3 linked regions of the Solanum lycopersicum genome follow. The protein of the gene in region 2 interacts with the protein of the main gene of each other region in a pairwise test. Links are inferred from orthologs where the notes say so. Each region holds a gene or a part of one and is shown on either strand. Other genes may lie near its edges. The genes, in order: inner membrane protein PPF-1, chloroplastic; preprotein translocase subunit SCY1, chloroplastic; preprotein translocase subunit SECE1.

The links.
Region 1: the proteins of preprotein translocase subunit SCY1, chloroplastic (region 2) and inner membrane protein PPF-1, chloroplastic interact in binary tests that used the Arabidopsis thaliana proteins (3 or more experiments, as listed by UniProt). The link is inferred for Solanum lycopersicum from reciprocal best matches to the Arabidopsis thaliana genes SCY1 and ALB3.
Region 3: the proteins of preprotein translocase subunit SCY1, chloroplastic (region 2) and preprotein translocase subunit SECE1 interact in binary tests that used the Arabidopsis thaliana proteins (3 or more experiments, as listed by UniProt). The link is inferred for Solanum lycopersicum from reciprocal best matches to the Arabidopsis thaliana genes SCY1 and SECE1.

The regions. Positions count from the first base shown.
Region 1 is NC_090810.1:57,210,058-57,213,714, forward strand, and holds part of inner membrane protein PPF-1, chloroplastic, read left to right. Parts: intron 1-954; coding exon 955-1,028; intron 1,029-1,117; coding exon 1,118-1,222; intron 1,223-1,432; coding exon 1,433-1,540; intron 1,541-1,638; coding exon 1,639-1,742; intron 1,743-1,887; exon of another isoform or gene 1,888-2,233; coding exon 2,234-2,383; intron 2,384-2,452; coding exon 2,453-2,579; intron 2,580-3,338; coding exon 3,339-3,446; 3' UTR 3,447-3,450; exon of another isoform or gene 3,451-3,654; intron 3,655-3,657. UniProt on the Arabidopsis thaliana protein: Required for the insertion of some light harvesting chlorophyll-binding proteins (LHCP) into the chloroplast thylakoid membrane.
Region 2 is NC_090806.1:2,907,432-2,911,850, reverse strand, and holds the start of preprotein translocase subunit SCY1, chloroplastic, read left to right. Parts: upstream 1-1,576; 5' UTR 1,577-2,289; coding exon 2,290-2,462; intron 2,463-4,419. Other genes in the region: uncharacterized protein, read right to left, coding at 1,352-1,549. UniProt on the Arabidopsis thaliana protein: Involved in protein export. Probably interacts with other proteins to allow the translocation of proteins across the chloroplast thylakoid membranes. Required for normal greening during embryogenesis. Central subunit of the protein translocation channel SecYE.
Region 3 is NC_090808.1:65,318,776-65,321,458, reverse strand, and holds preprotein translocase subunit SECE1, read left to right. Parts: upstream 1-1,266; 5' UTR 1,267-1,508; coding exon 1,509-2,051; 3' UTR 2,052-2,083; downstream 2,084-2,683. UniProt on the Arabidopsis thaliana protein: Involved in the import/insertion pathway in the thylakoids. The signal recognition particle is not involved in the insertion of SECE1 in the thylakoid membrane.

The sequences.
Region 1 (3,657 bases), on a different chromosome or scaffold from region 2:
CTTCCTTTGCACTCTTAATGAAAACGATTTATAGCCACATAAATGTCTTAAGGTTTGTCTTAGACCACAAATTTCAAAAGTCTTCCTTTCTTAAACTCTGTGCCAAGTCAAATACTACCACATAAGTGCAACTTTTGACTTAGTTTACACAATGGTTGGAAAACCATAGATGATCATGAACACCAAACTAGTTTCTCAATGCCAGAGAACACTGCTCTATGAACTTAAATTTGCTTTTTAATGTATTTGTTCTCCTGTTTTAATTCAAATGATAAACAATAGCTTTAAGTTAGTCAACCTCTTCTTTCGTATGTATCCTAGCGATAGTCCTTTGAGGCTATGCGTTGTAAAAGAAAAAAGGGTTTGGCTTGTAAGAAGTAAGGGCTCCCAACTACTTAGAAACATGCAGTATGTTTTCAGGTGCAGTATCCTATGAGCTGTCTGGCGAATAGCTGCATTGAGGTGGTTATAAACGGCATTAAAAAAATCAACTTTATGCCCAAGGATTTAAGTATTATGCGAACACTACTATTCTAAAACACATGATGGTTTGAAATATACACTCAATTACTATGCCTTTTTAGTTGTGACAGAGAGTTAGTAGAGCTAAGGTATGCTGTTAAATATGCATTGACTTGAAGCTTAACTGCATTATTAATGGACAGGTTGTACCTCCACGAGGTTAATGAGCCCACTGCAATAGAAAAACTACAAATTGTTTGACATGTGCTAATTGTAGCATATCAACTAACTGCAATTTTCAATGCCAGTTATTAAGAGACCATGCCATAAATAACTATTTAGACACCATGCCATAAAATAATGAGTGCTGTGAGCTTCTGTAAGGTTTGGATTTGTCCCATCTCAAGTTTGGCTTCCATGTAATGAATGTAGTAAGTCCTTGCATTTCCATTGTGGTTTATCTTTTTCTTTTTTGTGGCTACACTATTGCAGGATGTTTCCCAACTTTGGCTACTATACCTGTTTGGATTGGTCTTTATCAAGCTCTCTCCAATGTGGCAAATGAGGTACTGTAGAAGTTAGTATTATTGTGTGTTCTTACTTATTAATTCAAACAACTAATGAGTTTATTTACCTTTTTTTCATTCTGATAAAGGGATTGCTGACTGAAGGTTTTTTTTGGATCCCTTCTTTGGGAGGCCCGACAACTATAGCTGCTCGACAGAGTGGATCTGGAGTTTCTTGGCTATTCCCATTTGTGGTCAGTGTCATATCCTAATTACACCTTTATACCATGTCTGAAACTTTATTTTGAGTAATTTTCCTAATCACAAAGAGGATGGAACGATTCCCGCTTTCATCTCACCAAATTGGTTTTCCTATAAATTCTTGGGACCATAAGATAATTCTGCTTGTAATACTAAGTACAGTTTAGTATGATTGCGGACATGAAATCTGTTGACATTTTCAGGATGGGCATCCGCCTTTGGGTTGGCATGACACGGTGGCTTACCTCATTTTGCCTGTCCTGCTTATTGTTTCACAATATGTTTCAATGGAGATAATGAAACCTCCCCAAGTATGATTCTGAATTAAAATTCCAGCTTATTTCCTTCTGATCTCAATTTGTGGGTGCTTCTGTCGTGTTATATTGAAATCCTTGATATCTTTTCTTAGACAGATGATCCGTCTCAAAAGAACACACTTCTGGTTTTCAAGTTCCTTCCGCTCATGATTGGCTATTTCTCTTTGTCTGTTCCATCAGGGTTAACAATTTACTGGTGAGCGCTTACTTAAAGTAATAATGTAATAGTGCCTCTGATACAGAATTAGAGTATTGGTCTTAAACAAATATGTTCCGATGAATATACTGATGTGAATTACTGAATTATCATTTTTATTAATGAAAACTATATTACTCTGCAGTTCAGTAAACTGGAATTTGCTATTCACTTGTTTCTAGTGACATTATCACTGAATAAGATGAGGGGATAAAGAAGTTTTGTTGCTGCCTTTATACACAGAGATATCCTTATACTGTCTTAGCGCTTTCAAACTTTCTGTTCGAGAGACATGTCAAAATAATTGCTCCATATCTCTTCTATTTGTTTTTCTTTTAAGCTCTCTCTCTCATCATTGAGGCAACAAATGACAAATTATCATGCTTCTGCATTTTATCTCTTTAACTCAAAAGTAGATTTTTGTTCTGGATATTATAATCAATGAAGCAAGTTGACTTTCTTAACATGTGCCTTTTATGTTGAATTTCAAGGTTCACAAATAATGTGCTGACCACAGCACAGCAGGTATGGTTGCGCAAGTTAGGTGGTGCAAAGCCTGCTGTGAGTGGAGATGCCGGTGGTATCATCAGTGCTGGACGTGCGAAGAGAACTACCTCTCAACCTGAACAATCTGGAGAGAGGTGTGTATAATATTTCAAAATTGATCAATTTACAATGTCTACCTAGCTAACAAAAGTTTATGGAAATAGATTCAGGCAGCTAAAGGAAGATGAAAAGAAGAAAAAGTCAACCAAGGCACTCCCTACAGATAAGGTTGAACTTTCTGCTTCTATATCTGATTCCGAGGACGAACAAGATGATGACACCAAGCCCAAGGTAAATGTCAAATGTTGTTTTGCATATGATCTCTGCTGACAAGTTCACCCGAGACATGTTTGCATGATTAAATTTAGTTGTTAGTCATTTGAATATCGGATGGCATGTCAAGGATAATAAAAGATGTGGATGGCTTCCAGCCTAACAAGGCATAGTGATTTATTGCATTACACAAGTTCTCTGTCTGAAAGTACTATTCTTCCTTTTTTAACTTAAAATGCAAGTCAGACTTCCATGTAATAAAGATGTGGATTTGTTCACCTAGGGTTGGTCATAGTACCTAGATGCACAACTATGCTATTGTTTGACCCATTAGGCCAGCCTTAGAAGAGAACATTTGTGTGACAGTGAAAAGAAACACTACCCTTCAAAGAGGAACAAAAAAAATCTGTCTCTAGTGTTCTGAATAATTTGAAAATTAATTTTGTAAATACTGAAAATTGAAAATTCAATTTTGAATCAATAATCTTGAGCAAAAACACATAGTGATTGGTTATGCGATCAAGCTGAAAGTTTGAAGGGCTTCACTCAGTGACTAGAGATAAATGCATACATAATTCTAAGCTCATGGATACCTAAGTAGCTCTGGAACATTTCAGAATGTTAATTGATTCAGTTTGATGAGGAGGGAAAGAATAATTTCTTAGTACCTCCAAGATGAGTTGTTTTATTTGGTGCTGCATGGCAGACTTTTAAATTTTCAATTGGAAGACACTGTTCTGAATATGAGCTTATACACTTGATAAATATTGGTTGCAGGATGAAGAAGTACTGGAAGAGGCTTATGCTTCTAGCAGTAGTAAAGAAGTTCCAAATTACTCAGGGCCAAGGAAGAGTAAGAGATCAAAAAGGAAGCGTGCTGTATAAAGTGGTAAATCAATCCTTTAGCTTGTATATTCAAATCTGTATTTTAGTTAGTGTATAGTGGCCATTTTCATGCCGGTCATCTATTTAATGGCTATCTGCCAAATGACGAGAACCTGATAAGTATGCAAAAGTGAATTCACGAGCTTTCAAGTTTAAGCACCAGCTTAGCAAGCAAAAGCTAAATTTATCATATTGCTTTCATGTCTAACTT
Region 2 (4,419 bases):
AACAAAGAAGAGAGTGAAATTTAGTGGAAATGATCTCTCAATACGTTATTTTATGGTGTATACTTTTTCTCTTAAACGATAAATATCTTGCATTGCTGTTGAAGGAGGACTCTGGTGATTTTGGGTTGAAGTTGTGTACTTCTTTCCCTGTTGTTTTACTGCTTAGAACTGTGATGGCTGTTGTGAAAGGTGGTTTTCATGAATTCTATTGAATAATTGTCTCATCCCAACAAGCTGACAAGAATCGTGCCAGCAGTGGCAAAGGAGGAGAGAATCCTAAAAGAAGGAGAATGAAAACCCAACTGTTTATCATCAAGATTGCACCTTTATGTAATATGCATATACCATATAGCAAATTGACCTAGATGGTAGCCGTGATAAAGGAGAAAAGTTGTGGTAACTTGACATTCAGGATAAAACTAGTCAAGTTATGTTGAGTCCTCAAAATAGATAGATAAGCTTAAATGGAACACTGTGTACAATGAAGATCCATATAGCAGCCTGCAACTTGATTGGTATTGATGCGCAATTGCTGATGTTATAAAGATCAGTTCTAATTAGCAGATGTGTTTGCAAGGAACTAAAGTTAGACAGTCCACTAAAGTAAGTCCGGACGAAAACATACAACTAAAAGGGATATCTTTATCTCTTTAGGATTTGAGTCCTGACCTCCAATGTTTACACCTACTTCATTGACCAATAAACTACACCCTTAGATGCACATATCTCATGCTTAAAACTCGCCAATCAAACTAGTGCTTTTAAAATTAGGGAAAACGAGCAAATGCGAGAGCTAAAAAGCCATTTTCCATGTGCAACTTACCAATCTCTCACACAATGGGAAGATTTTTTCTATCAAAAGATAGTTAAAAAAGACACAAACAACACATGGAAGGTTAATCAGCACCCTGTCATCTGGAAATATGCATACAAGAATGCTCCCAAAAAACTATTTTTCTTCTATTAGTACTAAGTAGCCACAGAGCTAGTAAGCAAGCATCTAAAACATAATTCCCCTATGAACTCCTAAACTGCTAACAACTCTGCTGTTATATGGATTCTTTAAGATTCAAACAGCATTCCCTCTTCCAGTAAAGGTAGAGGTAAGGTGTGCATACATCCTATCCTCTTCCGACCCCACTTGTGCCATAACATTCCAACACAGAGTATACTATTGGTGTTAGCTCACATCATTAAATACATAGGAACTGATAAAATTAATTCACAAACACATAAAAAAACAGTCTTCAGCATAAAAACCAAACAAATAAAAAGGAAGAATTGTCCAAAGAAAACACCACAAATTGAAACTTCATCTCATATAAAAGAACCCCATTAAGAAAAATCTAACCTTTTCTTGAGTTTTCAAAGAGCTGATAGTAGACCCTTTAGCTATTCCTCTGCAAGAACAGATTTTTCTTACTGGAAACGAAAAATTCAATTGATTTAGCCAAGAATTTTGAAGAAAGTTGGATTTTTGGGTAATGGGGTTCGATAAATACATTGTCTTGTTGACACCTGAAGCACTGAAAGAAGTTCCAAGTTCCATTTTTTTTTTGAGCTGAACTTGGTAGGACTACAAGAGAAGTAGGGTTTTAGTTTTTTGGTGAAGTGTTCTTTTTTACTGTTATAATAAACTTGTTTTTTTTTCTTTTATTATTTATTTGTGGAAGGGAAATTTGGTTTAAGAACCTGCTCAAGGTCAAAATTAAATAATTTTTTATATATTTTACATATTTTTATAAATTTTAAAAAATTTCATATCAAATAAAAAAGGCGTGACAAATGAAACATGAAATATTTATTGGTGTTTGATGTTATAATAAAATAAAAATCAATAAAAGTTCACCAATTAGAAAATAGATTCTAAGAAAAAAATATGAATTTTCAAATGACATCACAATGGCTATAAATCACCAAACTTATTATGATTCAAATAAATAAAATGATGTTTGAATTAAGTATAGATTATGAATTCAAATCAAATAAAGATATTTATTTAAATGAAAAGGATAAAAAGACGAATTCATTATCCATTGAGTTTCAAATGATACGTTTTAAACCTTCAAAAATTTTCTATTTGATTATCAATAAGAGGAAAATATAACTTTCTCAAACTAAGGAAACCTAAAAGCTAATAATTATAAACTATAAGGACCCAAGTGATCATCAATGAACTTATATATAGAAAGAGCTAAAGTATATATTCTTTCTAGTTCAAGAATAATGTAATTCATAAATAAAATTTCAAGATAAAAATTGAAGAGTGTGTGTCTGTGTGAGAGGATAATGTTGATAACAGTCAGAGAAATTTCTTCTTCTTCTCTGTGCTTCAATTCCAAGCAGCTACACTCTTTAAAGGTTAATAGAGTCACCCCAATTTGTAAAGCCAGCAGCCTCAGTTTCCATAAAAAATCCACTGCCCCATCATGGAATCTTGGTCTTTTTGAATCCACAAACAGGTAATTTCTTGAAAATAAAATGTACCCTTTTGTTCAGTTTTTTTGCTCAATTTGATAAAAACTATATGCTGTGAATATAAAGACTTGAGCTTTTTGCTCTGTTTGTTGTAATTTTTTTTTTTTTGTTTAATCCTGGTTATGTTTGATCCAAGGTAGGTGCTGTCTTGAAAATAAAATGAACCCTTTTGGTTTCTTTGTTCAGATTTTACTCAATTTGATTAAAATATATGCTGTGAATGGAAAAGACTTGAACTTTCTTATTCTGCTTGTTGTAATGGTTTTTGGTACTTCCTTGAAAATAAAATGTACCATTTTGGTCTTCTTTATTTCAAAGATAGGTACTTTCTTGATAAAAATGTGTCTTTGCTCTCACTTGAGTTGGGTTTTGCTCAATTTGATAAAAATGTGCTGTGAAGAAGATAAAAACTTGAAGTTTATGCCTACGAGGGTGTGGCCTAGTGGTCGATGTAGTTGGTTGACCATGATAAGGTCTCAGGTTCAACACAGACAAAAACACTAGATGATTTCTTTCCATTGGTTCTTGTCTTTGTTGGACAAAGTTACCTTGTACCTATTGCTTATTGGCGGTGGGATCCCGTGGAATTAGTCGAGGTGCGCGCAAGCTAGCCCGGACACCACGGTTATAAAAAATAACACTTGAACTTTCTTACTGTTTGTTGTAATGGGTCATGTTTGAAACTTCTAAATTTTAATTCATTGATTCCTCAAAGAAGTCTTGAACATTCATATTGGTTTTCTTCACTCCACAAACAGATACTTTGTTGAAAATGGAATATACCCTTTTAGTCTCATTGTTCTTAGATGCCTTGGTTTTTGCTCAATTCGATGAAAATATGTTATGTAGATAAAGACTTGAACTTTCTCACCTATTTGTTGTAATGAGTCATGTTTAAAACTTATAACTTTTAATTCATTGATTCCTCAAACAAGCCTTGACCTTCCATGCTGTTTATTGTGATGATTCTTGTATAGAGCTTCTAATTTTGAGGAATTTAAGACATTTGTGTTGCCTTTTCTTTTTCGGAATTGTGTTTTTTACTTTCATGTTGAGTGTTTTCTCTGAAAAGAATTACTGAATCTGAATGCTTGTTTGTTTTGGAGAATTTTACTATGGTCCTATTGCTAAATTATAATCTGAAGGTTTTTTTTCCGGTTAAAAGCATGAGATGGATAATTTCTTTTTCTCCCGCGGAGGAAGTTCAATAAATCTTTGACTTATTGAGTATATTCTTTTTTTGAGAACAATGGAGGAAATGTAAGAGTAAGGGCCCTTATCTTGAAACTAGATAAAAGGACTTATGGAAAGGGAATCTAGAGAAAGTTCAGCCCTGGAGATTGGTGCGATTTATCGGCAGCGTAAAAAAGCTCTACGGTCCATGGGGGCTTTAAGCGCGATATGCAAATAGAGTGTGAGCTTCAATGAGAAAAGGCTCAAAGGGATATATGCTTAGTCCAAGACTAATTATAAGCATGAATAGCAAATATATGAAAGGAGATTGGAATTTTTTTACGATAAAGTGAAACATCAATTGTTTGGTCCCGCCTCTTTAAAAGAGGCTCATTGGCAAGGGAATGTGTGCCTTAGAGCTTTGTTGATGACACTAAAATGTACATTAATCGAGGTGAAGTGCTCAACACGTTTTGAGCCTCGCTTCAGGGCTTAAGTGTACCTTTGACAACATTGCATATGGGAAGATTTAAGTAGTGCTCAGAAGTTCTTTTTTTTTCTTCTTTTGAACTTTGGCCTTTTTTTAAAAGCTAGTCACTTAGAGTGTTGAGACACTTGCTCACTAGAAAGAAAACTCTTTAAGTTGAACTATAGAAGGATATGCTTATTCGGGACATCAAAGTTTTGTCATGGTTGGATATCAACTTTTATTTCTCTATTTTTGTATGTTGATCATACACATTCTTTTTATGATTTTGAGGTTGTGAA
Region 3 (2,683 bases), on a different chromosome or scaffold from region 2:
TAGTGAAAGAGGTGGATTTTCCTTGAGCGAGAGAAATATGTGTGTATATATATTGATAATCGTGCTGTCTGAGTATGTGCACCTCAATTAATTTTACTGAATATATGTTACCTCTCATCAGCAACAAATATCAGGTTACTCTACTTATCAAAATTACGACAGATGAAAAGAAATCATCTCGTGTTTTGTCTCAGTCGAAATTTAAATTTAAGACCAGCTTATTTTCATCTACTTCGTTTACAACTAGATCATACTCTTTTTAACCGTACGTGAGAGTTATATATAGACTTAGATCCAACTTTGATGTAATATTGTGAATATCTCTCCAATATAATATATATTTTCTTTGACTATAACAATTAGCATTGAAAGAACCAAGCACTCGTGACAAAAAAATACTGTAGGCCAAGTCAATATATGATCTATTAGGTTTAGTTGAAGTCGTCTAGTCACAAGAAATTTTTCTCACAAATTAAAATGATATCCTTGAAGACTTCATCTGTGATTGGATTACACAAAAGAGATTTTTAAAATGGTATTTGATTCTCTAATATATATTTTTAGATTACTGAGCAAATAAAAGAAGTGTTTGAAAAAGGAAAATAAAATTAGAGGCAAATATCATTTGGGTATCTAGTTCACAAAACATGTATACAGTGTGTATATATAGTATAGTTTATACCAAATATACATAAATATATAGCTAGATTGTATTGATAATAAGGTATACTTCGACCATGCTGATAAACTAGATGGCTGAAGAGTTCCCCTACAATTTGTTGATATTATTAGTTTTCAAACTCAACCCAAGGCCCACATAGCTATAATCATTTGGAGAAGATTTGTCATTTGTGTACAAGCCCAAGTCTATAGATATATCCTTCAAAATGGAGGATGACAAGGGAAAAAAAGGAGCAAGCTAAAATATTTCGATGGGATGAATACGATTTGTTTATCTTTAATTAGATATCTAAAGTTTAAACTTTGAAATGAAAGCAAAAAAATTCTTACAAAATAATGCTTTTTCATCTTTTAATGTCTAACATATTTTTCTTTTCACTTGGCTAGTTGATGTACTTTCACTTAATTTATACATGTAAACTCAAAAAACTTGAACCTCTCAAGCTATAGAATAAGTCAGTCAATAAATAACATAAAGTTACTCAATTTATAATAAATTATAACAAATACTCACTATTGGATGTAGTTTTTTTATGTTAGAAATCAGAATACAAACTCTCTATCAAGAAAGATAAAAGATTTCGTCGATCAATTGATATATTAAGATTTTTCTCCCTCATTTTTTCTTATTCGCGATCAAAAACAGGTGTAATTTAAAATTTGCAAGAAAATAAAGTGAGACCCAAGATCCTACTTGTCCACTTTTAAAAAAGTGTCACAAATAGTGTAAGTTGTATAACACACAAAATAAAACATTTTCATTACTCATCCTTTACGAATTTTTTTCTCAACATTCACTAATTAGCAAAACTCAAAGCTCTGCAACAATGGCGCATACACTTTCCTTCTCACAATCCCCATTTCCACTTCCTTCTTCCTCTTCGAAATTCCTCCGCCACAGCACCACCACTTTCTCAATCAAACCCACACCCATTTTGCCCCATCTCAAAACACCCAAAATTTTCACTTCAGTTTCCAAAAAACCCAATTCCTTCACTACCCGAAGAGCCGCTCAAGAATCGAACTCAAACAACTCCTCATCGGAAACCGAGCAAAACCCACTACCGGAAACTGAAACAGAAGCCGGAGATCAAGGCGCCGGCGGGGATGAGGTGTTGTCGGATGTGGGGTCGGAGATAAAGAAGCTGATGAAGGATAGAGAACAGAAAGAGCCGGATTTTTGGAGTGGTGTGGCGGAGGAGATAAGGGAAATTGAATGGCCAGCTTTTGGTAAGGTGTTGAGTACTACTGGGGTTGTAATTGGGGTCATTGCTGGGTCCAGTGTCGTTTTGCTAACTGTTAATGCCGTTTTGGCTGAACTTTCCGATCGAGTTTTCGCCGGAAAAGGTGTACAAGATTTCTTTGGTTAATTATGAAGATAAGGGTTCTTTCAATTTATTTATTTTTCAGTGTTTTTTTCCTTTTTTTTTATAAATAATTTTAAACAATTTTTCCCTTTTGTTGTTACAAATTTGGATTGAGAATACTGGAATATATGAAAAGCTGAAAAAACTGGAGTTTTTAGGCCTATGATAAGGAATAATTAATTTCAAAATTAATTTTAAAATCCGCTTTCACATTTAATTGGGATAAAATTCGATGATTAGTTATCTTGAAATCATAGTATTTTTTTTTTTATCCACGTTAAGGGTGGAATAATAATTGCATGGTAATTAATTTTAAAATAATTAATTACGGTATAACTTATTCAAGCATGATAATTTTGTTAGCAAAACCATAATATAATGCTAACTCCATTTCCCAACTTAAATAAGTAATAACATGCCTCTTTAAAGTAAAATATTAGTAGTTAATCGAGCGTTTTATCTTATTTTCATGGGATAAATTTGATGGTAATTTGAGGCATGTGTTTGACTATTTCCATTCATTCATATCAATATAGTAGCGTTATTCTCATAGTTTCTTGTTCTACAATTTATATTACTATTATACTTCGGTTATCAAATTAATAACCTTTAATATAATTTTTCTTGGTTATTCC